Linked DNA regions of Diceros bicornis minor. The protein of the gene in region 2 interacts with the protein of the main gene of each other region in a pairwise test. Links are inferred from orthologs where the notes say so. Each region holds a gene or a part of one and is shown on either strand. Other genes may lie near its edges.

Region 1 (8,077 bases), on a different chromosome or scaffold from region 2:
GCTCATTAAAAAAAAAATAATAAAGTTCCAAGCTTTCTACTTGGAGAAAAATAGCATAACACCCTTTTCCAGGAAGGCACTAAAAACTTAAAGATATAGCAATGGAAAAGCTTGTTTTCTTTTGTAGTAAGGAGCAAGATATTCAGCTTCTCAGTTTGGCCAACAGCCCTGAGGTAGCTTTGCCAGAATATGTATTTAGCACTAGTTTGCAGCAATAACTAAAAATAGTTTGACCAAATGCTAGTGTTATTAATCTGTCCTGGAGTCTCTCTGATGTTAAGGTCATGTGTAAAAACAGAACTCATTTACTCCTCAAAAACCACAGCTTTCAATGGATTCAGGTAAAACATACAATCGGATCAGAGAAACTTAGCCTAGCAATGATCTTTCCTGGTGGCTGAAGGTTCTGTTTAGAAGAAGGGTGTCTCTGCGAGAATAGACTTCTTTACCCATTCTAGTGCTGGATTTAAGCATCCACTTAAATGACACAGCTCTAGAGCCTTCGACTGATAAAGGGAAGTTTGTTTTTTATTTTCTCTTTAAGTCACAACAGTTTTCATTGCCAAAGGAATAGGACATCTTGGGTTGGTGCTGTTAATAGGATAGATTTTGGAGATGGAATTTCCCCTGCCATAAAGACACAATTATCATAATTCCAAGCTGAAATTGGAAATATCAGATTCTGTGGACGCAACACCCAACCTTAAAGGAGTATCCAAAAAACTTACTGCTCTGAGGATGCTTTTGCTCTGTGTAGTCCAATATACAGGTTGAAAAGGCAAGGGGCCACTGACCCAGGTGGAGAGTGGAGTATGTAGCCCACCTGCTACTTCTCAACCAGGAAATGAGTTTTATTTTTAATAAAACTGATAGGCAGGCTTGTGATAGCTGAAATAAACCACCAGTGCTGGGTGGTGTGTGTACACATATTAGCAAAACAAACAGAGAAATCTGTGCTAACTCAAGATAAGGGTGGATAAATATAGGAAAACCTAACACCCGACTACAGCAACATATAATTCAGTCTTAAATGACAGCAACGGAGAAATTCACTTTTAAGAAACCCCACCTCGATGGGGTTAGAGCTGGCTTCTCGCACTCCCCTCTGGGGGCTTCACTGGCTTTTCTGAGAGCCCAAGAGCTGCAGATTCATTTAAAAGAGACAAAATAGAAGGCTGACTTTCTTAACTCACTCACTCCAACGGGTACCTGACCCCTTCTCTTCTGGACCCCCACCACTGCCTCTCATCTTTTAGTAACCGCCCCCTCCTTTCTCTGGCTAGAGAACAGCTGATAGAAATAGATGCTTTTTTTTCATATCAAAGGCAGCCCGGAGCCGCCTCAGCCTTGCCCCAGCCTCAGACACAAAAAGCTTTTGATGTTTATAATTGTGAGGCTTTTTGCAGCTGCACTTTATCAAGCCTGCAGCGGCGGGGCTTGGAGGGCCTCGGAGAGCCAGAAGGTGGCGGCGAAGTCACCTTGGGAAGAGAAGAGAGTCAAAGGGAGGAAGGTAGAGGGGCTGACCCCGGCAGGACCAGAGGGCGTGCCCCTGCTCTGGGGTCAGTGAGGAAAGGGAAGGGAGATCGGAAGGAACCCCGGCCAGAGGGAAGCGGTGCCCGAGGACCCCTGGGCAACCCTAGTCGGTGATCAGCCGACCTGGGCAGGGGAGGAGGGTGCCCTTCGCAGTGTGACTGGAAGCTTCGCCTTCCAGGCTTGCTTCCTTCCGCCTGCCCCTGGGGTTGCTCTCTGCTCAGGCTAGCCTGAGCGCAGCTCGGAGGCGCTCTCCTCGCTCCACATCGGCGCCCCCACCTGCCGGGTGCCCCCGCCCGCCGAGCGCACGCCCAGGAGGGCGGGCCCGGAGCTGAGCGCAGCCGCCCGCCGCTGGAGAGTGCTGGGAGCCCAGGAAACGAGCAAGGCCTTTCTGGGCGCTGTGGGCTGCAAGTCACTCCCTGAGCCTCCTGGGCCACAAAGCGGGACTTGCCCGCCTTGCTCCCCGGCGCTCCAGGGAAGGGAGGCTCCAGCACGCGGCACTGCGCTCCAGGCCCCTCGCCGGTCCCAGGTAGCTCCTGGCGCGCTCCGGGCTGGGCTGGGCTGGGCCGGGCCGGGCCTGGCCGCGGAGAGGGGGCCTCGTAGCCCCTTCCCCAGGGCGCGGTCTCCTCCTCCTCCTCGCCAGCTGCACCGCCAGCTCCTATTGTTCGCCCCGCCCGCCTGGCGGCGTCCCGGCGCTGCTCCCTGGGCCTCGCAGGCGCACCTACCTTCTGCTGCCGGCGAGCCATGTCGGTGGGCTGCTTGGCGTTGAAGGGGTAGGCGATGCAGCGCATCACGAACACATAGAGCTGCAGCCTCTTCTTCCTCTCCTCCTCCTCCTTCTGCAGCCGCTCCAACTCTTCTTTCTCCTTTTCGCTCACCACCGACGGGCTGGGGCTGGAGGGCCGGCCGCCACCGGCGCGGCTGCTGGGCTGCAGACCACCGGCCCCGCCGCCGCCGCTCGCGCCGCTGGCCCCGCCACCACCGGCTCCCACTCCGGCCCCGGCGCCAGCACCGCCGCCGCCTCCGAGCCCGGCGCCGCCGCCCGAGCCTTCGCTGGTGCGGCTGGGAGACAGGCGCGCGCCGGACGCGGCCGAGCCAAGCACCTCCTTGCCACTCTCCTCCTCCACGATCTCATCCGATTCCTCTTCGCTGGACGAAGGGTCCAGCATGGTGGCGTTTGGGGAAGGGGGTCCTTGGAGCCCCCGGCTTGGGGTGCAAAAGGTGGGGGGCGCCGGAGGCAGCTGGGAGTCGGCTCTCCCGGATGGGCTCTTCTCCCGAATTCGGGGAGCGAGCGCGCTGCTGCTCAGTCTCGGCCGCCGCGACTGCTTCTTCCGCCTGGCGATCTGGAGCTGGGCTCAGACCCAGGAGCGAGGGGAGGAGGGACAGGGAGAGGTGTGTCCGTGGACCCGAGGTGGGCAAGGGGGAGAATCAGTTGCGAGCCCCAAGCCCGCAGCCGGATGCCATCTGCAGCCGCTGAAGAAGGCGCCTCCAGAAAAGATGCCGAGTGTTGCAAGCTGTCGATGCAGCCAAGAGCCGAAGAGGCATCTTGCCGATTGGGGAGGGAGCGGCGCTTACGTGTTTATTGGCTTAACTCTCCCGTGTCCGCGGCGTAAAGGGTGGCTGCAGAGGGCTGGAGGGGGGAGAGCGCGGAGCCTCCGCAAAGTCTCAGAGCTTCGGTACTGACCCGAACGCCTTCCCACCCCCATCAGCCCCTCCCTTTTGTGGATAATTTCCTCCTTGATCCCCAGGTCTCACTGCCTGGACCTCTCTCCTCCTCCCGCAGACAAAAAGTTCTTGGGGGAGGAAGAAATAGACAAACCAGTGATGACTTTTTGTCAGCGTAGAGTGGACTGTCTGTCTGGAGACGCTAAATCTAGAGGTCTCACTAAGAGGAAGTCGGCGAGATCCCGTACGGGAAAGCAAGAGTGTATCTCCTGTCCCCAGGTTTCTTCACACCTGGGGCGTGGGGGCAGTGGGGCTGGGCAGAGTGTTTATCCCACCTGTGTAAACTCTGATTCCAGCAATTTACTTTACATACGTCCACTCTCATTAAAATAAAAGTGAATCAAATTTTGAGCGGATTGATGTATCGACCATGCAGCTCAACTATTTGAGTAGAACCCTCGCCCTTGTCTCCTCCGCAAAAGCTATTATGAACATTCTTCAATTCCAAGAACTGGGAATACTTTCTGCTGAGGTAAGCCTACCAGAGAAATAGAAGGGTTTCTCATTGCTCAGCCCTTCCTCCATTCTGGCTCGCTGGGAGATCTGGGTGGAGGAGGGGGGACCTCCAGATCAGACAAAGACACCCCAAGAACTCAGCGGCATCACCATCTAATGCGTTGACTCTGTTGCACTGTCTTCATCTCTGCTCCTCGGTTATCTATTAATTCAAAGCAGCAGATGGTGCCTTCCTTTCCCCTGCTTTTTTCACTTAGGCCAATAAACCCGGCGGACCGGGGAGCTGGCCAGCGTGCTGAATCTAATCAGCGACCCGCAGATGGATTGAAAACAAACCGACCCCCGCCACCCTTGGATCTTAGGCTATCTAGAGACCTCTCTCCACCTCCCCGCCACCCTATCTCCTATATTTATTTTCTAATGCTCTAGTTATCCATAGATACTCGTAGGATTTATTGTAAAAGTGTAGCATGAATTTAAAGTTTACATCACGTCTGTCTTTAGGTATTTTCAAATTTACCATGAGTTTTACTGTAGGCTTTGGTATTCAAGTGAAGCTTTCTAGCTAATCTGTTTGAGAGCTAAAAATGAACTTAAAACAACATCTCACTTCACATTAACTCCAAAAATCCTATTTGATTTCTTAAATTAAGTAATATATGTATGGCTTATATTTGACTTCACCACCATACTCACCTGAAGGACATAACTTCTGTGGCCATCATGCATTCTGTATCAATTTAAATAATCCAGCAATGTGAAAATTGTTACAATTTAGCAATCTTCACTTTTTAATTCTTCTAAAGGAGTAAAAGATGTTCAAATTATGTTGTACTCGTTTCCCTGGAACAGAAAATACAGTAGGCCAGTCAGTCAATTAATCAACAGCCCTTCAGCACCTTTTTGTGGAGTGAGTGGAATGAACATGAAGTTCTAGGTGCTTGTGGTGGATGGAATTTTTGGAAGACATTCTCTTAAAGACTCTAATCTCCTTTGGGAGATACAACAGATACACGTGAAAAAGGTTGACAGCACTTATTTCAAGGCAACATACCAACAAATCCAAGTTAGTAAACCCCTAAAAGCTGGCTTGAATGAAGCAGTTGGGAATGGAAGAGAATCATATATTTCTCAAAGAGAGTTAAATTTTAAAGGAAGGAATCATATGAATGGATGATGAAAAGGGAAGATATTGTAAGTGATAAAGTGATTTGCAAAGCCACAGTGATAAGACAAGGGACCAAGTAAGGTATAAGTGTTGTGGAGATGGTGTGTGGATAGGTAAGGGTGAATCGAGGAGGAAAAAAAGAGCTGAAATAATAATCCATTTGGCCAAATGGGGAGATCATGTTTAGGACACAAAGAAATGAATTATTAGCTAGGGAGCATGTGGTTTGCAGAGGAGGTGCTCTTCAAGGCCAGATAAAGGCCATTTACTAATTAAATATTTCTTCTCTAAGCAAGGTTAGGCATTTAAGTATTATCACATTAGGCATTGGTAGAAGAGTGACCGTGAATTCTGTCTTCAGAACCATTTGGAATTTCTCAATCGCTATAATAAAGATTTGTTTAGTTTTGTATTTTTACAAATTCCTTTGTAGTTATGTGGCGTTTTTTTCCCCAGTTATACTCATTAAAACATAAAATCAGTATCTGCCTTTGGTTAATCATATAAACCTATGATGGGTATTAAATATAACATTGCTCAGGTAAACCTACACTCTTCTCATTCCGCCCATGAGTGTTCAATCAAAGAGACTTAAGCAGATTTTCCTAGAAATACTTATAATTTTTTTCAAATGGTGTGCATTTCTGTCTTTTAAAATGTACATCCTCTCAAAGACATCTTTTACCTTAGCTAAAAGTCAATCCAGTATCCTTGGAGATATTATAAGTCTTTGCTACTGGTGAAAATAAGAAATGTCAACCAGAACTCCTTAGGCATCTTAACCAGGAGTTATGGCTTTCCTAGATGCAAATTTTGATGAACAAGGAAGAAAATAACCCCAGAACACATCCACAGGCTCTTAACATGTGTTTATCTTTTGTTAACATCCATATTCCTATTTTAAAGAGTACAATTCTACCATAGGTTCTGATACACGTAAGTATTTATATCCTCAAACAAGCTATTTTAGGTACTTGCTTGTTTGCCCCCACCTCCAGTTCTGCTTTGTAGGAAACTTGAATAACCCCAAGGTGATGGAATAAATTTTAGTCAGCCATCTGGAGACTATATCGTGAGTAGAAGTTTTAACATTGAATTTTTAAATCCCACCCACTAAAAGCAAAGTCTAGGGGAAATGGAAATGACTGAGATGCTAAACCAGGGTTTTCTAGTCTAGGCTTAGATTATCTCCGTTCTCCTCCAAAGCATTTGCTGTCATTGTGTAAAAGGCCACAAGTAGGAGGGAATATCTGACGTGTTGGCAATTGATAGACACTTTGATGAAAAACAATCGCTGTTTATGTCACTCATATAACATGTTTCAATCAAATAAAACTGAGTTTAATGCCCATTTTAATGTTTTTGTGTGTTTGTTACTAGAAGATAGTTTGACTAAGTAATTTTTTTATCTCACAATAAATTTCATAGTATCTAAATGTAATCATCTCATCCAATCAACATTTTTTTAATTTTAAGAATAGCTCACAGGCACCAAAAAGGAAAAATTTGAACCTTATGGTATGCCTATGTCAATTTAAGTGCTTGGACTCTCAACCCAAGAAGTTCTATCTCTGGCACCTAATAGCAGAGTTATTCTGAGAAAATTATTTAATGACTCAAACTCAGTTTCCTCATCTGTAAAATGAGCGATAGTAGCACTCACTTCCCTTGGAATGACAATAAAATTAAATTAAATGTTGTATTAAAAGTGTTTTTCAATAGGGGCCGGCCCGGTGGCGCAAGCGGTTAGGTGCGCGTGCTCCGCTGCGGTGGCCCGGGGTTCGCTGGCCCGGATCCCGGGCGCGCACCCGACGCACTGCTTGGTAAGCCATGCTGTGGCGGCGTCCCATATGAAGTGGAGGAGGATGGGCGCGGATGTTGGCCCAGGGCCGTCTTCCTCAGCAAAAAAAGAGGAGGATTGGCGGATGTTAGCTCAGGGCTGATCTCCTCACAAAAAAAAAAAAAAAAGGTGTTTTTCAATAGATTTTAGTTTTAAACATTTTTTCAACTGGTGGAAGAAGGACTTGTAATAAATGAAATGACCAGAAATTGGATACAAATAATTGGACAGAGAAACAACATTAAAAAGATCAAATAATCCAGAAATAGATCCTTGAATAATAGAATATTTGCTTATTTATTTAATTGATCCCTGTCTTATTTTAAATAGTATTTTATGGGACTTATGGTTTATTTTACTTGAGAAATCTACCCTTCATCATTACTCTTTATCATATGATAATTCTTGCTAAAGTAAAATGGAGTGAGTTAGGATGGAATTAAAGGATAATCATAAGACTGAAAATAATAGAATCAAACCACACAAAAACATCTTCTTTCAGTCCAGGCAACAAAACATGTTTTGCAATGATAAATAATACTACTTGCAGGAACTCGTCTTGGAAAACCACCTTGTTAATTAAGAAGATGAAAAAGAAAAATGGAACGATGTATTTTACAATAAATAGTTAACTTGAATTCTGAAAACCAACTATTCACAAGGGTAATCACATTTCTGGTGTATACAACTTCTTTTCATAGAAGTAGGAGCTAGATGTGGTACAGATTGAAATGCAGTTTATGCTGGTCTTTACAGGGACAAAGTGGAGGATAGAATCTTTTGCCTTGACTCTGGGATACAGCAACATGCCAGCAAATAAACGGGAAAAAAGCATCCACGTAGCTGTTTCCACATGATAAGATATTAGGTAGATAATTTGCCTAATTAGCCCAATTCTTCAATTGGGATTACTTTGGTAAATGTTGCTACCATTATATCTTCACCTTCTCAAAAGAATTTTCTAGGTTGATTATCTGGGTTGTATTTAATTGTTTTTACAAACTACACTGGCTTTACACTGAGAGGCTTTCTGAGATTGTAGATAAGAATGACTGAAGTCAGGGTATTTTCACATTAACAAGTTTGTTTTCAATTTTAAATAAAATGGTGAGTTCCTTCAATTCAGGCTACTCTAAAACATGGTTCTTTTGGCTATATAATCTTTTGGAGAAAGAAAGTGAGTAGGAAAAAGAGGCTTGATGAATAAAGGGAAAGTACATGAAAATGTACGGATGGGTCCCATCAAGTGGTAGATCTGGGTCGGGGTCAATAGAGGTAGACACATCGGGAGAAATGCTCTAAACCAGGTCTAGTCACTTACATGCCAAATCAAACTAGCAAAACGGAAGTTGATAGAT
Region 2 (8,176 bases):
ATATAGGGCCGGCCCCGTGGCTTAGTGGTTAAGTGCGCGCGCTCCGCTACTGGCGGCCCGGGTTCGGATCTCGGGCGCGCACTGACGCACCGCTTCTCCGGCCATGCTGAGGCCACGTCCCACATACAGCAACTAGAAGGATGTGCAGCTATAACATACAACTATCTACTGGGGCTTTGGGGTAAAAAAATAAATAAATAAATAAATAAATTATACTATATAAATATATATTAACTCATAGTAATATATTATTCTATAGATATATAAGTGAGACAGCCAAAGGTGGAAAATAAATACAAGGTATGAATTACTGACCTGGCCATAGCTTTAAAGCAAATTAAGTTCAGTTTCCTGTTCATGAAGGACTTGTCCAGACAGCCGCCATAGAGTCATTGTGACTTAGAATTGTCCATCTAAGGGTAAAGGAAAGAAATTAATTTGCCAATTTCTCGTCTCTCTCATTGGTCAACGCTTGTCCCAGGGTGTTGATTCTTGCCCAGTGCCTCCAGTCAGATGCTGGGGAAGCCAGATCTTGGGCCACTGGTTCAGTGCTTCATCTGAGTCTGGAAGTGGTGTAAGGAGCCAGAGCCTCCATGGGTGTAGTCAATGTTGCTTTAGCACAAGAGATGTAGACTCTGCTACTGCAGCAGGGAGCAAGAGGACCAGAGAGCAAATGGAACTAAGGAAATAGTCAGGTATCCTAGAGAAGAATTAGAGCCTTGGTTCTCCAACCTGTAACACATTAGAATCATCTGAAGCATTCTAGAAGCTATACTGATAACCAAGTGTTCAAATTATTTACTTCTGCATTAAAAAATTACTCCAAAACTTAGTGGCTTAAAAACCACTTAAAATATATGTTATTAAATATATTAATAAATTATTACAAGTTAAGGGGCCGGCCCGATGGCGCAAGCGGTTAAGTGCGCGCGCTCCGCTGCAGCAGCCCGGGGTTCGCCAGTTTGGATCCCGGGCGCGCACCAACGCACTGCTTGGCAAGCCACGCTGTGGCGGCGTCCCATATAAAGTAGAGGAAGATGGGGACGGATGTTAGCCCAAGGCCAGTCTTCCTCGCCAAAAAAAAGAGGAGGATTGGCAGATGTTAGCACAGGGCTGATCTCCTCACACACAAAAAATTATTACAAGTTAATGTATAATTATATAATAATATTATGTTATGTATTATCATACTACATATTAATATATAAATAAAATATACAATTTATATTTAATGTATATTTTAAGTGGTTTCTAAGCAACTATATTTATTTCATATGTAATTTAAATATAATTATTCTACAGATTTTATAATTTCTGTCATGAGTTCTTCTGTAACCTATGAATTGTTTTTTAGAAGTATTTTAAAGTTTCCAAACTGAAAAGGCTTTTCTAGTTATTCTTTAATTATTCTCTAACTTAATTGCATTAAGTGATCAGAGAATGTTGATTGTTTGATGTTAATCCTTTGAAATATGTTGATGCTAGCTTTATGGCTTAGTACTATGGTTACATTTTATAATGTTCCATGTGTTCCTAAAGTAATGTATACTCTCCAATTGTGTTTTTTTAATATATATATATTAGCTATGTTATCATCCAATAGCTATGTATTATCTAATTGTTAATTGTGCTGTTCAAATCTTCTATACCCCTTCATATGTACACAAATGTATCAAAGACTTCCACAGGACTGTTCACAGCTGCTTTATTCACAGTAGCAAATGTGGCAGCCATATAGCTGAGCTGCTTGGATGTCCCCTAAAGACAGGATCTGCTCTGAGGAGTGCAGTCAATCGATACAGCAGTGTGCTGGAGCCTGCTGGTACGGACTTGAGAGAGTTGATTGTAAAATTTTCAGCCATTACTAATTTGTTAAACACAGCCATTATTAAAAATTAGTTTTGCTAAATTACAATTAAATAATGTTCAAAACAAAGATAATTTCTCAAAACTCTTTACCTCCTCTTCTGTTACCATATTTTACTTATATTTATATGCTCTTGAGCTTATTTGCACCTACTATATCTCTGCAGTGAAAAACTATATAATGGTGTGCTACTGGACGTCCTTCCCCAAGTTCATGTTCAGTGATGTCACATTGGTAGCTTGGAATTGGCCTTGGTGGGAGTATTGACACCATGTAAATCAGCAAATGCTATAAATTGGACTTTTAAACTTAAAGTGATTGACAGGGAAAATGTTCATAATGCAGGAAAAAAACTTAAAATTGTGTGGTGCCTGTAGCCACTACATTGTGAATAGCACAAAAAATTAAGGAAATCTTTCAATATTAGAAAAGTATTTATTTCAGTGAAGAAGTTGCTCACGATATTGAAAAACAAGTGAAATTCTGACATACATTTTGATTACTTCACTTTCATCTTATTAATATAAGCAAAAATATCAACCAATATCCATGCTGGAACTACATTGTTAATCAACTGCAACCACAGGCTGGCTTCAGATACAAGAGTTCAGCAAAAACTAATGAAAGTATTCTGGGAGAATCAATTGTTTATGAGGAAGTCACAGTAAAGAGTATATTTTGATATTTCTAAGTTGTATGCTACAATCCTTTATATCACTAAAATTTACAATAAGTGTGTCATCACACACACAAACACACACACACACTTTCCCCCAGAGAGTCTCTCAGTAACCATTTACCAGCATACCAGCACTTGAGGATTTTTCACAGTGTTCCATCTGAGAACATGTTCTTCCCAGGGAGCTCTAGCCAATGATTGAGATGGTAGGGCTGGTAGGGTCTGGCCATTTCTGCCCATCGCAGAACTCCTCTATGAGCAATCTTAGCACTGGAGCTCTCTTTTTAACTAGCTGAGACTTTCTCAGAGCTGCACTGCAGTTTCAACCTCCTCCTACACAACATTTTCCCTTCCCTCTCTCCTTTCTAAGGTGTCAGATCGTATGTTGGCCTGAAGACTTTCCTGCTCCTCTTCCTTTTTCTTTCACAGGAATTTTGCCCAGTAAATCTCTTGCACTTCTAATTCCTTCTTGGTGTCTGCTTCCTGAAGGACCCAAATTGACAGCCAAAAAATGGAAACAACCCAAATGACCATCAACAGGTGAATGGATAAATTTAAGATAGTGATAAAGACAACGTTAATAGTGCAGATTAAATATGAGTATGTCTTGTCTGTTACATTATGAATAGCACCAAAAAATGAGGAAAATTCTTCCAGTATTGGAAGATTATTATCTCTTTAAGCAAAGAATTCTATTCAGCAATTAACAAGAAACAGACTACTCATATATACAACAACATGGATGAATCTCAAAGAAAAATAACAGTATGCTGAGCAAAAAGAGTACATATGGTATGATTCCATTTATATGAAGTTCTAGAACAGTCAAGGGGATGAATGGGGAACAGACTGGGAAGGGGTACAAGGAGAATTTCTGAGATGATGGAAATGTTCTATATCTTAATAAGGGTATGATTTCATAAGTGTATGCATTTGTCAAAATACATCTATCTATACTTTTAAGATCTATTCATTTCAGTGTATATGTTCCATCTCAATTCAAAAGCGCAAAAACAATTCTTCCTATAATGATGTAAGATGTGTCATTTTCTTCTTGTGGATCTGTCCATTTCTGTTCTGTATACTTTGAGGCTATGTTATCAGATATCTGCAAATTTAGAATATTGCTGGTGAGTGGAAACTTTTCTGCTCTTCTACATACACACACATCGTGTCCTCGACACTCATTCCTTCTTTTCTATTCTATTCTTGCCTAATCTTCCATTTGCAGTGCTTCAGCATGTAGACCTCTATTGCTGTTTTGGGGTCAGGTTTGTACCTAATCCCAAGAGGGGCACATGCAGCCACAGAACCAGCTGCATGTGAAAGACCGGAAGTCCCTACTCTGGTCACTTGGGGTGTCCATACCTCATGGGCTTCCAGCTCTGGCTTCTGTTCAGAATCCAGCCAGCATCTGTTCCAGCGTGCGAAGCAAATCTCAGCAAAAACAAAGAGCAGCCTGAAGGAAGTGGGAGAGTAGGGGATTTTGCAGGTGCTCACACTCCAGACCCGCGAACAAGAAAGGCTTAGAAACAAGAAAGGCTCAGACCTCAGAGATGGGTTCCAGACGGGGTACGCATGCTGCATACCCTAACTTTATGGTGGCAATGGCTGGTTGTAGGGTTGTAGGTCCGGGGGCACAAGGAGGCTGAAGAATAGAGAGGGGGAGGTTGCAGCAGCCTCAGCCTCAGAAAGCAGGAGCTTAGGTAGCAGGTGGCTGAGACTGCACCTCATCTGCTCTTTTAAGGCTAGGCCTCTCCTACAGGCACGCGGCCTAGCGGGGAGGCGCCATTTGAAGCACCCAAATCTCGCGCGGGAAATGGTGGTAGGGTGAGGTGGAAATGGAGTGTGTCTGTGGTTACTGGTGAGCGCTTGCACCCTCCAACCCCACTACTATAAAGCTGGTGAACCCAAGCAGCAAACGCCCAGTTCATACAACTGTACTGTCACTCACTGGTGGGTGGGCCAGGCTCCACCGAACTCTGGCTTTTATTGGTCAGGGCAAGAAGAACACGAGTGGGATAACTAGCAGCCTCTTTCGGATTGGTCGATTTCTGCTAGCTCTCAAGTCAATCAGAGAAAAATGTACTCCTTCCCATTCTCTGGCTCCCGGGGGAACCATGTTAGGTAGCAGAATGCAAACCTTGCCGCTGTTCTGAGATCACCACACAATAGCATCCTCTGCTTTCTCCTGCCGCCGCCATCTCCTCCTAACATGTTATTTCATGCGCTCTTTTTTGCACAAAACGATCTGTTTCATGTGAGAAGTCTACGTTTAGGCGGTGAGGCGAGAAACTGGGGAAGAGGTGCTCTGTTCCGCCAGCCGACCCTCTAAACCAGCAAAGACTGAGTAATGACTCCTGTTATCCAGGAAGCGCCGGTCTTAGGTCTCCGGCAGCGGGAGAAGAGTTTGAGTGACTTTTGGCCCCTCGCGGCCCCTGTAGCGTCCCTAGTTACCGCGCCCCTCGCAACCGCCCTCCTCAAGCAAGGAGCCGCCGGGTCGCCTGAGGCCACGCCAGCTTCCCCGCCCCGGGCCAGCGCGGGCGCTCAGGCCTCGGCGGCGAGGTGATGGCCGCCTCCCATTCAGGGGCGAAGCCGGTGGCCTGCAGTCTCCAAACCCTGGGAAATCTCAACACCGGAGCGCGGGTCGCCCAGTATGAACGCGAAGACCCCTTAGAGGCCCTGGCGGCGGCGGCGGCGGCCTTGGAGGAGGAGGACGAGGAAGAGGAAGAAGACGAGGAGGCGGTGCGGCCGGCGCGGGCGCCGGTAATGCAGGGGCGGGATGTGGGCCAGGGCTGGGGGCCGGCTGAGGGCTGGTCCGCGTCCGCGCTGGGCTGAAGGACGGGCTGGGACACGCGGCGCCCTGTCCAGATTCTCCCTAGCCGGCAATCCTTGCCCACCACCTTCTTTCTGCCCCCGCGGAAAATACTCAAAACCGAGGCTTTGAAAAGTCTTTTAATTTTCACCAAAGAGATTGTTGAGAGAGCATTTACTTTATTTCTAGAGAGTGCAAAATACAGAACTTTACTCCTTATGCTCTAGCATCTGTTGGGAGTAGATATTTCCTTTTTAACTTAAGGAAAACTGATCTACCCCATAGTGGATAACTCATAAAAAAAATCAGGTGAATCAGCTGTGCTGTCAGCTGTGTTTTGTTGTCACCTAAAGTCTTGGTTATTAGTGCATCTTAACACAATACATGAGAGGCAGTGTTTAAAACCATCAGGAGTTCAGTGGGTAAATCAGACACAGATGTAGTTAAGCATCCAGAGAAGCAAATTACTGAGTTTCCGATGTTTCCTAACCAGCTCTTCAGGCTCGAGTGAGAGCCTTTTCACTAATCAATTTTCAGTGTCAAATGTGTTGTGAACACCTGTCTGCTAGGTAGAGGGCCGAGTCTGCCATCTGCTCTATTCACTTAAAAGATTGGAACCTTGAATTTTAACTAGCAATCTGCAGATATAAACCTCCTTACCCCCAGATAAAGATTCTTAATACTGTTTGTCCAAAGCTTCTCATACAAAAAAAAACATTATGGTCTAGGGCTAATAGAAATGACTGGATATTTTGGAATTCTAATCTCTTTACACTAAAACTGTTAATGAGAAAATCTGTAGCAACACCTTTTAATGTCAATATTTCAGCAACAGACATAAACTACTTGAGGTTATTTAGAGTAAGGCAGGTTGAGACCCTGAACCTGAACCAGGCTCAGAGTCCTAGGACCTTTTTCATTCATGATAAAGTTTCCATTCAACACAAGTTTTAGTAGCCAACAAAGGGAGCAAAGTCATGGAGGAAAAAGATTTGAATGGAGGAAAAGAATTTGGAGTCCTGGATTAGGATCCATTCTCTGCCATTTGCCAGATGATATTAAGATGTAACTTCCTTCAATCTCAGTTTCCCTAGGTGTAAGAGAACTATAATAATTGTCTCTCTTTCTTGTCTCACTGGGATGTTATGAGAACCAAATGAGAGAATGTGTGTCATATGTAAAGATCAGTTTGTATAAATTAGTAATAATAAGAACTGCCAGTGGGCCTGTGATTTGAACAACTTGCCCAAAGATTACATTCTCCTTTGGCTTACTGTGGTAGAGGAGTCAGTCATTTCTCTAGTTCCACGTATAGAGTGCCTTGCTAAACTGCAAATTTGTATTGGAAACTTATTACCTTAGGAGAGACTAGTTTATATAATGAGCTAATTTCAAAGGGACAGGATCTTACCCCCCAAAAACAAAGCTAAGTCTTGTGAGTTTGTCAGTGTTCTGAGACCACCACACTTGAAGGATCCAAAAGCAAACCTGGATAAGCTGCCACAGTAAGCCTGATAGCCAGAGGACGCTGGGGCTGGGGGAAGATGCACTGAAAGACAGGAAAGAGAGTGCAGGAGCCAAGCTTTGCCTTCTTCACAGTTTGCCTTGGGTCTCCACCTTGACTTTTAAAGGTTAATTTGTCTCAACTTTGTCATCTATAAAATGTAGTAAACTCAGATGCTGTAGCCACTACACAAGACTGATTAGAGAACCAACTGTCCCAGGCCCCTTTCAGTCCTTTGGTTTCCCAAAGACAACTCCCTCCCCACTCCACACACACAGACACACACACACACACACACACACACACACACACCGTTGCAGGACTCTCTGCCCGTATTGGGCCCTGAGGCATGTTCCTTGAATCTAGCCTCAGTTGGACATATCAAGGACATATCATAGGCCTTGTTGTGTGACTGATGATGACTTGGGCAAAGCAACATTCTATAATTCGCTGTTAAAATTTCACTGACTCTCCCAACAGGGAGGCCTTCTCTTTTTCAACAAATTTTCCGCATTTAGTAAGTCACTGACTATTAATAGTCACTGACTATTCAGTGGTGAATGAAGCAGACGTAGTCCACATCATCACAGAGCTTCCAGTCTGCTGGGGAACTTAGACAATAAAAAATCAACAGTCAAATGATTATAAGATGGGAAATGTCGGGAAAGAAATGAACAGGCTACTATGATTAAAAAAGGAAGTTGGAGGGAACTTACTTAAATGAGTTAACATTTAAGTCCATGCCTGATAGATGGGAAAGAGCAGCCATTTGAAGAGTGGGGGGTGGGGAGGCATTCCGGGCAGAGGGAACAGCGTATGCAGAAGCCCTAAGATAGGGACAGAAAGAGCTTTGTGTGATTAAGTATCTGAAAGAAAGCCAGCAGGGCTGGAAAAGAGAGAAGGAAAGAGGGGAGGAGATGAGGTTGGAAAGGTAAGCAGGGCCTGATCATTCAGGGCCTTATAGACCAAGGTAAAGGGTTAAGTGTTTATTCTAGGTGCAGTGGGAGGTCCTCAAAGGCTTTTAAGAGATATGACATGTTCCTATTTACATTTTTAAAAGATGACTCATGGCTTTGTGGAGAATGATTGGAGGGTCTGACAAAGCAGAAGTAAGGAGATTGGTTAGGAGGCCGTTGCAGTAATTCAGGTGCCAGAGGCAGTGGCTTGGACCTAGAGTCCAGGGCAGATGGCAAGAAGTGGACAGATTTCTCTAGAATGAATAGGACTTACTGTTAGATTGGATGTGAAAGCCAAGGAAGAGGAAGAAATCAAGAAGGCTCGTTCCCAGGTTTCTGGTTAGACCAGCTGCAT
Region 3 (8,240 bases), on a different chromosome or scaffold from region 2:
GAATGGAGAGAACCACAAAGAAGGAAGCCATAGGTGTATAAACTATTTATTAACAGACAAAGCCTACAGATTTATTTCTTCTTAGACACACCCACAGTGCGGCCACGGCGGCCTGTGGTCTTGGTGTGCTGGCCTCGGACACGAAGTCTGCAGGTGAGAAAAGAAAAGGGTCACAGGTCATATACAACACAAAGAAAAGGTGGGGAGAGAAAATGGAGCCAGAGAAATCTCTGAGTCTTAGGGGCGGGCAGGCAGGATGAGACTCCCCACCCCTACTCACCCCCAGAAGTGGCGCAGCCCTCTGTGGGCCCGAATCTTCTTCAGTCGCTCCAGGTCTTCACGGAGCTTATTGTCCAGACCATTGGCCAGGACCTGGATTTGGAAGAGAAAGTGAGAGATGTGTTTTACCCCCTGACCTCCTATGACTGCCCAATTCCAGCTGGACACCCCGCCTTCCATTTCTCTAACGTCTCCCATCTCAATACACACCTGGCTGTATTTTCCATCCTTCACATCCTTCTGTCTGTTCAAGAACCAGTCTGGGATCTTGTACTGGCGTGGATTCTGCATAATGGTGATCACACGTTCCACCTGGCAGGCAAGAGAAGGGTCAGATCCAGATGCCCCCCTTCCGAGGTAGGCCCAACCCACACCCCCTTCCTTGTCTCACCTCATCCTCAGTGAGCTCTCCTGCCCTCTTGGTGAGGTCGATGTCTGCTTTCCTCAACACCACGTGAGCATATCTTCGCCCCACGCCCTGAGGAGAGGTTTTGGAATTGGGTTTGATTCTGATTTCCTTTATAGCCCCTACTCCAATCAAAAGCATAGAAAGGTAGGGCCTGCAATAACCTAGTGCTTTATACTTTCCGGATTGCCCCTGCCCCGCCCACTTTCCCAGATATGAAGCCTAACCATTACACAGAAAGGAGAAAAAGTTTTGTTCAGGGGCAGGGCTGGACCATGAACAGAGGATAGCTGATAGCCCCTTGAAAGCAGAATCTTTTCTTTTTTTCACAATGCCCAGCATACGCAGTTGTCAATAAATGCTAGCTGCTAGACACTGCAGCAGCACAGAAGAGGGGTACCTTTCAATTTCCTGCTGGAGGACAAAGGGCCTGGCTCTCGAAGCTGATGCAGCATCAAAGCAGCAACCCTTTTAACAGGGTTGAGCAAGGGGTAGGATTGTCAATGGCTCAGGGTCTTTAAGCCTCATGATTCTTTGGTCAGATCACCACATCCCCAGGATCCAAGTTCTCCAAGATCACAAACGATTTTGTTAGTGCCTGGAGATGACCAGGCCCTTGGAAGCTAACTGCCCAAATCAAACTCAAAGGAAACTAATGCTTACACTAGTGGCATCGTATCGACACCAACACTGTTACTCTTTGCCACCGAACTCATGAACCAAAGAGATTTGGACAGTGAAGGATGGTGTGCTGGGTTTAAGTGTCCCTAACCCCCTATATATGTCCACCCGGAAACTCAGAATGTGAACTTGTTTGGAAATAGAATCTTTACAAATATAATTAGTTAAAATGAGGTCGTACTGGATTAGAGTGTACCCTAAATCCAGTGTCCTTACAATAAAACGAGAGGACACACAAGACACAAAGAGAAGGCCACGTGGTAACAGAGGCAAGAGACTGGAGTGATGCAGCTCCAAGACAAGGACACCAAGGAGTGCTGGCAGCCGCCAGAGAAGAGGTGAGATGGATTCCTCGAGCCTTCAGAGCAGCATGGCCCTGCTCACACCTTGACTTGCGATGTGTGGCCTCCAGCACTGAGAGAACAAGTTTCTGTTGTTTTAAGCTAACAAGTCTACGGTAACTTGTTCTAAGAGCCCCAGTAAACTAAAACAGATGGTACTTCCTAGAAATAAGAATGTGACCTAGGAAATCAAATTATCAGGAGGTAGATTCAGAAAAGATTAGGGTCTAAGTCTCTCTCAAATTTAAATATTTACAGAAGCAATACTATGTCAGAAATACATCCTTTAAAACGAGTGGATGGGGAAGGGTGTAGATGAAACAAGATTTCTAATTTTTAGCTAGATGATACATCCATGGTGCCAATAATTCTCTTCCCTCTACTCTTGAATGTTTCAAATTTTCCACCAGCAACTGTTTTAAAAGTTGCTGTCAAACTAAGATTTTGAAAGTCCTGTTTACTGACTCCAGAGATTGGCTGGACAATTTCCTAAGTTAGATCCCCAGATCCACTGTTCTCTGCCCCAAGAACACTCCTGTTCTCTCCATCCAGAAGAGTGCACTACAGGGAACCATCACTTTCTCATCTTCATAGTCCAAGGGTCTGGAACATATAACAGTAGAGTTGATACCAACTTAATATTACTCTTGGAGTATTTAGAGCACTGTTACTCATGGGGGCACTGGCACTTTGGCAGGACAAGAATTCCTTATAAACAAGGCCAGCAGGTATGATGTTCCAGTCATTGTGACCAACTCCAAGCCCCTCCTCCCATGTTTCCAAATAATCCACAGATGGCAGTTACTACCCTGATTTAGAGAAAGGGCAGAAGACCAGCCAGCCTTAAAGAATACTCATAGCAAAGCCTCTAAGTGGAAACAAAACAATGAGGAAGAGATCACGGCATAAAATAATCTTGCAGGATCTGTATTACCTCTACAAAACGCCCTCTTCTGCTTGGGTCAACTTCCACTCCATTCTTCACCCTTCCCTGGCCAATTAACCTTGCTTACCACTTCTTTAATCACATCTTTTCAGGAATCCCCTCCCCACACTCAGCCACCACCCCCAACTTTCTTCCAATTTCCAAGTATTATCTCCCATACCACATCCTTAACAAAAGACCACCTCTACACTTTAGTTCTCTCACCAGAGGAAGAGCTTGCTGCAGTTGCTGGCTCTCCAGGTAACCAGCAAAAACCTCAGTACTCATCTATCTCTAGGAATAACCTTTCCCAGTGAAAAGCAGGGCATCAGGATCCCAAGAGTCTTCTTATCACAGTGCTCATTAAGTACCTGAAACTGCTCTGACAAAATTGTTTTAAGCTCACTACAGAGGTTATGACGTTTAATTAAACTAACAAATACAAAACCAGTTAATTTCAAAGAGGTAGAGAGAAAGGACTTAACAGAAGCATCCTATTAACTATGCTCATCTTTTAGATTCACTATCTCACTTAGGCCTCACAGCAACCCTTGAAAAAGGTACTGTACTTTCCATGGCCTTACTAGTTTCAGAATTACAGAAGGACGCAATCTCCTTATACACCATTTAAGAGCAAATGAAAAGGGCCAGCCCAGTGGCTCAAGCGATTAAGTGCGTGCGCTCCATTCCTGCGGCCCAGGGTTCGCCGGTTCGGATCCCGGGCACGCACCAACACACTGCTCGGCAAGCCATGCTGCGGCAGCATCCCATATAAGGTGGAGGAAGATGGGCACGGATGTTAAGCCAGGGCGAGTCTTCCTCAGCATAAAAAAGGAGGATTGGCAGACGTTAGCACAGGGCTGATCTCACACACACACAAAACAAATGAAAGCTATGCTTCCTGCAGTATAGAATGAAAAATTAAGAAAATCTAATTAATGTTGTAAGTCAAAGCTGGGATTTAGTTTTAAATTAACTTATCTATAAAATATTTATCATGGTTTCCTCTAAATTCTTTGAAACCAGGCCACAGTATCCCTAGTAACATCCACTCCCTAACACTGCATGAGCACCTATCATGCACCAGACGTTGGGGATTCTTCACAAGACAAGCCGATCCCCACCCCCACTGGTAGGAGAGGAAGACGTTCAACCATTTCCACAACTAATCACACCTATTTAGGGGGGGTAGATAGAATAATGTCTCCATCTGGAAGACCAGGAGTTCACTAGGTTGGTGAAGGGAGATCCAACCTTGCACTCAACCAACTTAATTCATGCAACAAGCCAAGTACTAGTTCCTGTTTCTGAAACGGGTACGACTTGCACCTCTGGCATCTGAGTCAACATCCTGCTCCTGATTTAGTGACCCCCCTCTCACCTCCCAAATATACGTTTCTTCACACTTGGAATCTGTTGGCATTTCTACTCACCCCTCAAAATGTACAATTATTCAATTTCCAGGGCATATAAATTTCACAGAAAGGATTACGGGTGTGATGGGGGGCGGGGCAGAAATCTACAATGGACCTCACAAGCTGATTGATGGCTCATGGTCCAGGAAAATTTTAGCAAATTCAGGTAGAACACCAAATCTACTCCCCATCTCCTAGGTGGAATATTTTGGCTTGACCTGAGACTATTCCCTGGCTTTCATACTTACCTTTTAGGGTAAACGTGGTATGGGTTTAAGGGATTTAATCACTCACTCATCCAGTCTCTTTTTTTTTTTAACCCAGTAGCCGAGGGGATCTGGTTGGGACTTATGTTTCCTCTACCCTGCCTCACTAAGACTTAGGTCCTAACAACCCGTTTCACTTATATTGTCTAGTTCTTACCCTGCTTTACCTTAATGGCAGTGATGGCAAAGGCTATTTTCCGCCGCCCATCGATGTTGGTGTTGAGTACTCGCAAAATGTGCTGGAACTTCTCAGGGATCACTAGAGACTGACAGAAATTTGGGGAGAAATCAGACACCGTGAACTACCACCAAACCGTAACCTCAAACAGGAGCGTTACGCTTGTCACACTAGGGGCCACGACTGCCCTTCAGGTTTTCACAACATAGCCAACTGCAGTCCTGCAGACAGCAGGATCACGAAGTGCTCAGGCTGGGGAAAATGCAACCTCTGGGAAGGGGCAAGTCTCCTGCCCGATCCCAAAAGTACTCTGAACGGCGGAGGCCGGAGGTCCCCATACACGCCCAAACTTTTCGCGGCTTCCGAGCGCCCGTGGACGGACTCTTCCTCTGGCCCCACTCCCAAAACTGGACGTCTTTAGGCGTCCCTTCCCAGGGGCACGATCCAAGGCTTCGCGCAGAAAGCTGCAGACCCCCAGAACGGGCCGTTCTCGGCCCCCCGATAGCAGACCTTCCCAGCCCCGGTTCCGATGTCGCCGGATCCCCGCACGGATTCCAGTCTTACCATGGCGGCAGACCTAGCAGCGGCGTGTAGGCCTCCTGTGGAAGAGAGAACGGAAGTGACGTAAAAGCATTATATAGTGACCAGGCGGAAGAGGCGGAGCGATCTTGGTGCAGCGCTTCCGGAAACTGCTTGTGCGCGAGCAAACGCGACTTCTGCGAGTCTGAATTGGGAGCCACAACTTCCGGTGCGTTCTCTCGTTACAGTTCGTCAAGATCTTGGCTGTGAGAGCAGCAAAGGTTCCGGCGTGAGATTGTGTTTAAGACTTCCCATTCCCATTTGCACTCGGATGAAGTGGTTAGAACCGAAAGGGGGAAGCTGGAGTCAAACAATTAAACTCAACTATCTGGGAACGATTTTGCGCTGTGCAAGACGCCCCAGGACTTGTAGTTCCTGTCCCGGGAAGCGACCCGCCGGACTGACAGCTGCCGGAAGTGAGGCTGCGCGGAATGGCCGCCGCCGCGACGATGGCGGCCGCCGCCCGGGAGCTGGTGCTGCGGGCCGGGGCCTCGGATATGGAGGAGGAGGAGGGCCCACTGGTGAGAACGCGGGGCGGTTCCCCTCCGGAGTCTCGGCCGGTCGTCCTCGCGTCAGAAGGGCCTGGGCTGGGTGTGGGACAAGTTGGGAGCTCGGTTGCTACCGTGATGATGCCTGGATTGGCTCCCCATACCTCTCCCTGTCATCGGACCGGAGCCTGAGCGGGGACCAGAATGGCCGAGACTGAGGATCCGAGGGAGCAATTTCAATTAACCTCCAGATTTGGGGGGAGAACAGACAAGCAGTGTAGTATAAAGGTTTAGAACATGCCCTCTGGAGCCAGACGGCCTGGGTTCTAATGCCTGCTCTGCGCTTACACACTGTGTCCTTGGCCGAGTTAACCAGACTTTCTGTGCCATCGCTTTCCACACCTGTAAGGTGAAGAAAATAAGAGCTACCATATAGGGTGTCGGTTAGGATTAGATGAGTGAGTATTTGGAAGATGGCACCGGGCATGCAGGTAAACACTATGTGTTAGCTGACGTTTCGAGAAAGGCTAGGGCTCCCCAGAGGGATTATGATAGAACACCTAAGATAGCAGGAGTCTGGGGATGCTAAATTCAACTGCAAGCTCTGCTCTGTCCTCTGCATCTCCTAATTTTCCTCATCTGGACACCTCCACACTCTTTGTGGGTTGCCTGTCTCCTTGTCATATTCCCTACCCATCAACCCCAAGGAGTAGATTCGGTACAATGTGAGACTCTTAGAATTTTTTGACTCGGTGCCTATGGCATCCTGTAAAAGCCCCGCCGCGAAGGATTGGGGATTATCCCATTATATTTTGTTTTCTCTCCTCCATGTATTCTCTCCCTTTAACCTGTCCCCCTCCAGGGGGGTGGTCCTGGTCTTCAGGAGCCATTGCAACTCGGAGAGTTGGACATCACCTCCGATGAATTCATCCTGGATGAAGTGGACGGTAAGGGATGGCACAGGGTGGATGCAGCGCCTATAATCTGAGAGGCGTGGGGGCTGGAAGTAAAAGGCAGCGATGGTGTGCAGATGTTCAGTGAAGGGAGAGGGAGCTGTGGAGCTGGACCCTTATGATTTACTTCTATTTCCAGTTCACATTCAGGCGAATCTGGAGGATGAGTTAGTGAAGGAAGCTCTTAAAACGGTGAGGCTTTCCACTATACTAATCTCCCACTAATTCCCTCCACCTACCCTCCCCTCAAAGAAAAGAAAAAGAAAACTGTCTCTTGCTCTTATAATGTCACCTTGGTGTCTTCCCCTCTAGTCCTTCGTCATTTCTGTTCTAGTTTCCCTTCACTGTGACTTCCTCCTGACCTGTCGTGTTTACATTCTCCCAGGGTGTGGATCTCCGTCACTATTCAAAGCAGGTTGAGCTGGAGCTTCAGCAGATTGAGCAGAAATCCATTCGAGATTGTATCCTCCAGCAGAGGAAAAGGGGGGTGTTATTAAAACGGATTTTGTGGGATGTGGTGCTGACAGCCCATGGGGCTGGCATCTTCTCTCGGAGGTTTCTGTCACCTCAGGGAGAAAGTGGAGAGGTTGTGTGGGTCTGAGCATCTCCATCTTCACAGTGAGGCCCCTTGACTTTTTGTGGGTCAGATATCCAAGAGAGTGAGAACATAGCCTCGCTGCACAACCAGATCACAGCCTGCGATGCTGTCCTTGAGGTTAGTAACCATGACCTGGGACCCCCAATAACCCTGAACCTGAACCCAGATCATGGTCTCTGGTGCCATTCTCTGGGTCTCCAGCCTCAGGGGGGACAGTTAGAGTCACTTTCAGGATGACCTCAATAGACTTTTTTATTGTTACTACCGTAACTAATGTTATTTGCCGGTGACCTTTGGGGTACCTCCTCCCTCATCACCCACTGCCCTCATGGACTAATAGATACTGGAGACTTAACGAAGAAACTTAGGTGGCCCACTTGTCCCCTACCAACCCTGTGGCCCTCCAGCAACATCTCCTGCCCTCCTGCAGCGCATGGAGCAGATGTTGGGAGCTTTTCAGAGTGACCTCAGCTCCATCAGCTCTGAGATCCGGACACTGCAGGAACAGTCAGGAGCCATGAACATTCGGCTTCGAAACCGCCAGGCAGTTCGGGGGAAACTTGGGGAGCTTGTCGATGGTCTGGTGGTGCCCTCCGCTCTGGTCACGTGAGTCACCAGTTTGAAGGGCCACAATATCTATGGCAGGTAGATGGGCTGGGGTGGCCTGCCCTACTTACCACATGGGTCTCCTGGCTCCAGGTCATCAAGTGCCTTCCAGAAACTGATGAGTGGGTTGACAACTCTTTCTAACACTGATGCATGCTTTAGGCATCAAAGATTAGGAATCACCAGGGTCAGGCATGTAGTGAGGGGGTCCAAGGCTTATGGGGGGGTGGTTCAGGAACAGAAAACTTTGTACCCATGTCCTGACTGTGTGATACAGTGTAAGATGGGAAGAGGAGACAGGCTGGATGTAGGGGGTATGGTTTGGAGTCTAGGGATGTCTGGGTCTCCCTCCTAACCCAGCTCACCCTTTCCTGCTATTCAGGGCAATTCTGGAGGCGCCAGTGACAGAGCCCAGGTTCCTGGAGCAGCTGCAGGAGCTGGATGCCAAGGCGGCCGCAGTCCGGGAGCAGGAGGCCAGAGGCACAGCTGCCTGCGCAGATGTCAGAGGCGTGCTCGACCGGCTCC
Region 4 (7,724 bases), on a different chromosome or scaffold from region 2:
CTCAATCAGATAGATATAAATTTCAATCAAGCCACCCCAAGATGGAACAGCTCAAAAGACAATATCCATTTCAAAGTATTGCAAACGGTATTTTATGCTTCTGTATAATTTTTCACTCAGTGTCCAGAGCTGACTGGATATGCATCCCTCTTTTCTTTTCTCACTTCTTACCTCTCCTTTTTCCCCCAGTTTTAAGGGATGGGAGAAAGCAGGAGCATCAGGGACAGCTCAGAGAAGACTCAAATAGGTCTCTAATTAGTCTTGAGGTAAAGGTGGTAAAAAGCAAAGAAAGTATGTTTAGAGATTTGAAATTTAAACCCAAAACACTAGAGCGCACACTACCTAATACTACTATGTATTTATACTTCTCCATATAGCCCATGTCAGTTAATGATTTCACCACCACCAAAGGGCAAAAGATTGAATAGTCATTTTTGAGCAGTCATTTTTCAACATAGCAGGGGTTAGCAAACTATGAAACAAGGAAGAATGAAAGAAAAGAAAAGGAGAGAAAGAAGGAAGGAGGGAAGAAGAAAAGGAAGGAAAGCAAAGGAAGGGAGGGAGGAAACGAAGGAAGGAAGAAAATATAGTTGGCTCTCCATATCTGCAGGTTCCGTATCCACGGATTCAACCGATACCCAGTGGAAAGGCCTCTGATGGTTGCATCTGTACTGTCATTATTCCCTAAACAACACAGTATAACAACTCTTTACATAGCATTTACACTGTATTAGGTATTATAAGTAATCTAGAAATGATCTAAAGTATATGGTAAGATGTCTGTAGGTTGTATGCAAATACTATGCCATTTTACATAAGGGACTTGAGCATCTGCAGATTTTGGTATCCACAGGAGTCCTGGACCCAATCCCCGCATACCGAGGGAGGACTGTACAAAAGAGACTGTATACAGCCTGCAAAGCCTAAAACACAGGCTTAGCTTCACACAGTACTGTGTTAACTGAAACTCTACAAAGCAAGGAATGCCTATATTTACTATCTGGCCCTTTACAGAAAATTTGGTGACCCCTGCTATAGAGGCCATCCAAATGGCTAATAAACAGATGAACAGGTGTTAAATGTTATTAGTTATTAAGGAAAATTAGGGGAAAAAAACCCAATGCAATATCACTATATACCCACCAGAATGGCTAAAATGAAAAAAACAATGGTAAGTGTTGCAAGCATTTGGAGGAGCCAGAATTCTCAAACACTGCTATTAAGAGTGTTAACTGACACAACTAATTTGAAAAACTTTTTGGTACTGTATACCAGAAATACCTATCTGCATATCCTATAATATAGCCATTTCACTAGTAGATATATATACAACAGAAATGTATACACATGTTCACCAAAATACTTATAAAAATGTTCATAGAAGCCCTATCGGTAATAGCCAAAACCTGGAAGAATACTACGCAGCATGAGAACAAATCACTACTACATAACTCATACATACTACATAACTATAAATCTCACAAACACAGTACTAAGCAAACGTGAGACACGAAAGACTATACACCATATGATTCCATTTATATAAAACCAATAATAGGTAAATTCATAGATCATGTTACAAATAGAGATAGTGGGGCCGGCCCAGTAGCGTAGTGGTTAAGTTTGGGCACTCTGCTTCAGGGGCTGGGGTTCGCAGGTTCCATCTCCGGCTCGGACCATGCTGTGGCGGTGTCCCACATACAAAATAGAGGAAGACTGGCATGGATGTTAGCTCAGGGAGAATCTTCCTCAAGCAAAAAGAGGAAGATTGGCAACAGATGTTAGCTCAGGGCAAATCTTCCTCACAAATAAAAAAAAAAGAAAAAAGAAATGGAGATAGTGGTTACCTTTGGAAAGGGGGCACAAAGTAGGACTTCTAGGATGCAAGCAATGCTTTCTTGATCCAGGGACTGGATACACGGGTACGTACACTTTGTAAAAAATTCAGTGAGCTGTACAATTACAATTCATGCACTTTTCTGTATGTCTATTATACTTTAAAAATTAACACACTAAATAGATTTCTATAAACTCTATGCCTTTTTAGGAAAATTGTGCACATCTGCCGTTCACTTTTCTAATTTGCCATCATTACCCCTCAGCAATGAGATATCTTAATTCTTGTTACCTTATATAGAAAAGTCAGCTTTGTTTTAATTAATTTTCTTGGTATACAATTGCATAGGATATCCAAATGATTATATAACCATCATTTTAGGTTCCACACTCGTTCCCAAGGAGAAACTCCGAAAGGCGAATAACTTGTGATAGTATGTTAAAGTTATCTGGGGAAGAAAAATAAACCCTCCTTGAAATGTAGTTTTGTTTAGGCTTAGCTTTGTCTACTAACACTGTGATTTAATCTGCATAAAATGTTCAAAGGAGCTTTTCAAAAAGCTTGTTCTTGTGGAAAGCTGTTTCTTTCCACCACCCTAATAATGCTGCTATCTTGTGTTTATCCAGTTCCTTCCATCCATGGAGCTTAAAGTACTTCACAAATACTGTTGGGTGGTGTCACCTTCCAGTTAGAAAATTGGCGGCCCTAGACATTGCGAACCAAAAGCATTCTAACAGTATCTTTCTAAAGCACAGCTCAGCGTGCCGCCGAAACTTACAAGGGTGAGAACTGAAATACAAAGCGGTTAAGCGACTCTCAAGGGCACAGAGCCAACCACAGGTTGAGCCTGGACCTGAATCCTCTAACTCACCGCGACTTAAGGGAAAAAGAAACAAAAACCTACAGCCTTGAATAAATGTCCAGCTGCTGAACGCTTGTAGTGGGAAACTGGGGAGTTTGCCGAAATCGTGCCCAGAAAGAGGACTGAGAACCCCACGACGCTGACCTTCGAGGGAGCCCCATCACTCCCGGCCGCACGGGGCCAGTACCCACCGGGCGCAGACTCCGCGCGGCCCTTCTCCTTCTCCAGGGAGGCTGCGGCCGGAAATTCCAGGCCTGGGGTAAGCCCACCCCGACTTTTCTCCGGTCGCCCAAGCCTCCCAGCCTCCCGGTTTACCTGAGACGCGCCGCGCACCGACCCGGCAGCCAACTCTGCGCGCCCGCCCGGAGTTTCTCAGGCCCAACGCGCAGCCCCCACGCCAGCCAATCGCCGCGCGCTCGGAGCCTCCCGGCCGGGCTCGCCAGAGCGAGGAGGTGCGCGCGCCCGCAAACGAGCAGGCGGGCGCGGCGGGGACGCGAGCCAGCCGCACGCCGCGCGCGGGGGCCCACGGGGAACGGAGGCGGAACGGGCGCGGGACGCGGCAGGCGGCGCGCACCGGGCATGCGCGTGCCGCGCCGCCAGGGCCGCGGGGCGGGGCCTCCGGGCGAGGGAGCGAGCTTGGAAGTCGTCGCAGGAGTTTGGGGAAGAAGGGAGGCGGTCTTAGTGTAACGCGGCTGCTCCGGCAGGGCGGAACGCTTGTCTGAAACGAAGGGCGCGTTCTCCGAGAGCAAATGTTGCCCGGACAAAACCCAGTCTGGTTAAAGGAGGGAAAACGCGGTTAAAATGCGTCTTGTGGCTCGACTTGGGCGTTGTCGAGTCTCCACGGAGCTGGGGGAATTGTGGTTTCCCGTCTTGTGTGTGGTTTGGAGTGAGAGGAGGAGTGGGGATGCGACGCCGGGAGAGGACAGCGGCGTGTTGCCAAGTGATGGTTGAATGAAAAGGGCCGAAGTGAACTCCAGTTGGATGAGCAGAAAGCGGTACCTAGCTCCTGGCCAAAGAGCGAGCGTTTCGTACTAAAACTTGCAGGCGGTGACCTCTTTGACTTAAGTACTCGAAAGAGATCTGGATGTTCACTGTATAGATTCTTTAAGACAAGATGTTGAACCTTCCAGAATTAAACAAAAAAAATAAGCCCTCAATTTGTGTACCTCCGTGTTGAAACAAGAACGGAATGGCATAATTGCTAGTAATTTGAATGTGATTTTCTTGTTTCAGAGATCAGTATTGCGTCTATAAATGTCACGTTAACTCCTTCAGATACAAATATTTGTTTAGCACCTACTGTGTGCCAGGTACTCTTCTGGGTGTTGAATAATAAGCAACAATGGTTTTTTACATATCTCCAGAGACTAGGCATAATATGAAGTGTTGACGGTTTCCCAAGTTAATGGTTAAAGTTAATGAAAGGAAGTTACATTTAGTAAGTGTGAAAAAGAGCAGGAAAAAAGACATGAAAAATTGGATGTAGATTAGTTGGAACAAAATAGGTTATAATAGTCACAAACTCTTAGTTATTATATTGTAATGAATGCACAGTGCTCTAAAGAGGTTTGTTATAGATTCAGCTTTGAAATGCATTTTTTTACTTCAGTCAAGGTCTGAATCAGATATTTGTGAATACAAAGTACCATAAAAATATGAGACAAAAAGAGGAGTGGAATACTTTTGTCAGAATAGATGGGAAGGGCAATCCAATCAGGAAGAATGACTTTGGAAAGGTTTAGGGCCAGCTCAACTTCTATGTAAAAGGAGGAAAAATTGCTTTTTCTGGCTAAGGAATAGCAAGAAATAAGGGGGGATGGTGAACACTATATTGAGATAATTCAAACCAAATAATTAATTAATAGGTTAAATTTAGAGAAAGTCATACTATTTTTCTTTGGGTAAAGGTACATTAACCCTAGTTTTTTAAAGCTCATCTGGATGCTGAAAGTCTCCAGGGTAAAGAGAAAATCCATGTTTTCTTTCAGTAACCTGTTTTTTTCTTCCACCTTTTTTATTCAATGAGCTCAAACATTAGGCCTTTTCTCCCTAGTCCTTCCTCCAGCTTTCCTGAGGTAACTCTTTTTTTTTTTTTTAATTTTTTGTTTATTGCAGTAACATTGGTTTATGACATTGTAAAAATTTCAGGTGTACATCATTGTACTTCTATTTCTGCATAGATTACATCATGTTCACCACCAAAATACTAATTACAACCCATCACCACACACATGTACCGAATTATCCCTTTCACCCTCCTCCCTCCCCCCTTCCCCTCTGGTAACCACCAATCCAATCTCTGTCCCTATGTGTTTGTTTATTTTAATGCTGTTTTCCTAAACTTTTCAGACCACAACAGCTAATTTTTTCCCAACCCTCTTCCACCACCACCATCACTCACATATACATTTCTTCATTCTCTGTCCTGCTAACAGTTGCTAGTCTACAAGAAATGAGAGAGACCAATTGGAGCTTTCTTTTCTCTTCTCAAGCTAATTATCAAAGATGTTGTCTGTGCACTCATCCGTCCTATAAGTTGGGCTTTTACAGAAATATGGACGTAGGATGAGAGGAAAAAGAAAATGAATCTCTTTTCATTACAGGGAGCAAAGGAATGCAAGATGTTGAATACTCTTGTGGATACATATGTTATCAGCCTCCCACAATGTGCCAGGCACTACAATGAGTTCTAGAAAATAAAGTAATGAATAAAAATTATGCACATTAGTAGCTGAGAATGCCATGTGTATTAGTTGGGGTTCTCCAGAGAAACAGAAACAACAAGATTTATATATTTATATATAAAGAGAGATTTTTATTCTAAGGGGTATCTCGTTTTAATTTGCAATTCCCTGATGTTACATAATGTTCAGCATCTTTTCATATGCTTATTTGCCATCTATATATCTTCACTGATGTGATGTCTATTCAGATCTTTGCCTATTTTTTATTTTTTGGTCCATAAGTGGGTGGTTTGTGTCCTTATTATTGAGTTTTAAGATTTCTTTGTATGTTTTGGATACATATCTTTTATCAGATATGTGTTTTGCAAATATTATCTCCAAGTCTGTGGCTAGTCCTCATTTTCTTAAGAGTGTCTTTAACAGAGCAGAAATTTTTAATATTAATGAAGACCAACTTCCCAATTTTTTCCTTCATGGATTGTGCTTTTGATGTGTACCTAAAAAGTCATCACCGGCGGCCGGCCCAGTGGCGCAAGTGGTTAAGTGTGCGCACTCCGCTGCGGTGGCCTGGGTTTCGCCGGTTCGGATCCCGGGCGTGCACCAATGCACCACTTGGCAAGCCATGCTGTGGTGGCGTCCCATATAAAGTGGAGGAAGATGGGCACGGATGTTAGCCCAGGGCCAGTCTTCCTCAGCAAAAAAAGAGGGGATTGGCAGATGTTAGCACAGGGCTGATCTCCTCACCAAAAAAAAAAAAAAGTCATCACCAAATCTAAGGTCACCTAGATTTTCACCTATGTTATCTTATAGAAGATTAATCATGTTGCATTTTACATTTAGGTCTATGACCCATTTTGAGTTAATTTTTGTGTAAGATGTACAGTCTGTGCCTAGATTTATTTTGTGCATGTGGATGTCCAGTTGTTCCAGCACCATCTGATGAAAAGACTATCCTTTCTCCATTGAATTGCCTTTACTCCTTTGTCAAAGATCACTTGACTATATTTGTGTAGGTCCATTTCTGGGCTTTTTATTCTATTTATCTCTTCTTTGACCAGTACCACACTGTCTTGATTATTGTAGCTTTATAGTAAGTCTTAAAGTTGGGTAGTGTCAATCCTCTGACTTTGTTCTTCTCCTTCAACATTTTATGGGCTATTTGGTCTTTTGCCTCTCCATATAAACTTTAGAATCAGTATTTCATTATCCACAGAAAAAAACTTGTTTCGATTTTGGTTGGGACTGCATTGAATCTATAGATCAAGTTGGCAAGAATTGATATCTTGACAATATTGAGGCTTATTTTCCATATACATGTAATATCTCTGCATTTATTTAAATCTTCTTTGATATTTTGCATCATAGTTTTGTAATTTTCTTCATATAGCTCTTGTCCACTTTTAGAGTTATACCTAAGTATTGTTTTTGGTCTAATGTAAATGGTATTGTATTTTTAATTTCAAATTTCAATGGTTCATGGCTGGTATATATGAAAGCAATTGACTTTTGTATATTAACTTTGTCTCCTGCAACTTTGCTGTAATCACTTATTAGTTCCAGGAGGAGGTTTTCTTTGCTGATTTTTTTTGGATTTTTCTGTATAGACAATCATGTCATCTGTGAACAAAGACAGTTTTATTTCTTCCTTCTCAATCTGTATACTTTCATGCTTCATTTTCAGTTATCATATATGTAATATTTTAAATATTGAACTCAATTCTCTCCTGATCTCAGTGTCCATTACCCTGTCCTCCACTATTCTCTTTCTTATGCACTTAATAACAGAACTTCAAAATACATAAAGCAAAATGTGTTACAACTGCAGAGAGAAATCCACAATTAATATAAAATTATAGTCAGAGATTTCAAACTGATCTCTCAATAATTGATAGAACAAGCAGACACAAAATCAGTAAAGGTATATAAGACTTAAAAAACACTATCAACCAACTTATCTTATTGACATTTATAGAACACTCTACCTATCAACAGCAGAATACACATTCTTTTCAGATCTGCATGGAATATTTACCAAAACACACCATCATCTAGGCCATAAAACAAATATAAATTCATTTAACAGGATTCAAATCTGGAGTGACATCAGCAATATGGCAGAATAGGCAGCCTCAGATCCTCCTTCTCCCACAGAGACACAAATTTAACAACAATACATGGACCAATTGCCTTTGTGAGAAAAGCTGAAACCAGTTAAGTGGTTCTTGCACCCAAGGCAAGTGTGAAACCAACTTCATCAAAGGCCAGTAGGAAAATTCAAGGCACTCACTTGCAAGTGACCCACTCCCCAGCATGACTTGATTGGGAAGAAACCCTCAACTCC

What was found.
Region 1: the proteins of FAM161A (region 2) and CADPS interact in a two-hybrid assay, tested with the Homo sapiens proteins (2 studies listed by BioGRID). The two-hybrid records come from large-scale screens. The link is inferred for Diceros bicornis minor from reciprocal best matches to the Homo sapiens genes FAM161A and CADPS.
Region 3: the proteins of FAM161A (region 2) and VPS52 interact in binary tests that used the Homo sapiens proteins (3 or more experiments, as listed by UniProt). The link is inferred for Diceros bicornis minor from reciprocal best matches to the Homo sapiens genes FAM161A and VPS52.
Region 4: the proteins of FAM161A (region 2) and MIPOL1 interact in binary tests that used the Homo sapiens proteins (3 or more experiments, as listed by UniProt). The two-hybrid records come from large-scale screens. The link is inferred for Diceros bicornis minor from reciprocal best matches to the Homo sapiens genes FAM161A and MIPOL1.

Annotation. Positions count from the first base shown.
Region 1 is NC_080741.1:62,198,883-62,206,959, forward strand, and holds the start of CADPS (calcium-dependent secretion activator 1), read right to left. Parts: upstream 3,209-8,077; 5' UTR 2,700-3,208; coding exon 2,256-2,699; intron 1-2,255.
Region 2 is NC_080751.1:25,472,180-25,480,355, forward strand, and holds the start of FAM161A (protein FAM161A), read left to right. Parts: upstream 1-4,968; 5' UTR 4,969-5,114; coding exon 5,115-5,312; intron 5,313-8,176. UniProt on the Homo sapiens protein: Involved in ciliogenesis.
Region 3 is NC_080753.1:31,183,987-31,192,226, forward strand, and holds the start of VPS52 (vacuolar protein sorting-associated protein 52 homolog), read left to right. Parts: upstream 1-5,236; 5' UTR 5,237-5,501; coding exon 5,502-5,591; intron 5,592-6,420; coding exon 6,421-6,505; intron 6,506-6,650; coding exon 6,651-6,703; intron 6,704-6,896; coding exon 6,897-6,972; intron 6,973-7,158; coding exon 7,159-7,226; intron 7,227-7,539; coding exon 7,540-7,715; intron 7,716-8,097; coding exon 8,098-8,240. Other genes in the region: RPS18 (small ribosomal subunit protein uS13), read right to left, coding at 72-147, 281-372, 490-591, 671-757, 4,481-4,579, 5,002-5,058. UniProt on the Homo sapiens protein: Acts as a component of the GARP complex that is involved in retrograde transport from early and late endosomes to the trans-Golgi network (TGN).
Region 4 is NC_080744.1:12,475,294-12,483,017, forward strand, and holds the start of MIPOL1 (mirror-image polydactyly gene 1 protein), read right to left. Parts: upstream 3,207-7,724; 5' UTR 3,015-3,206; intron 2,981-3,014; exon of another isoform or gene 2,742-2,980; intron 2,705-2,741; exon of another isoform or gene 2,129-2,704; intron 1-2,128.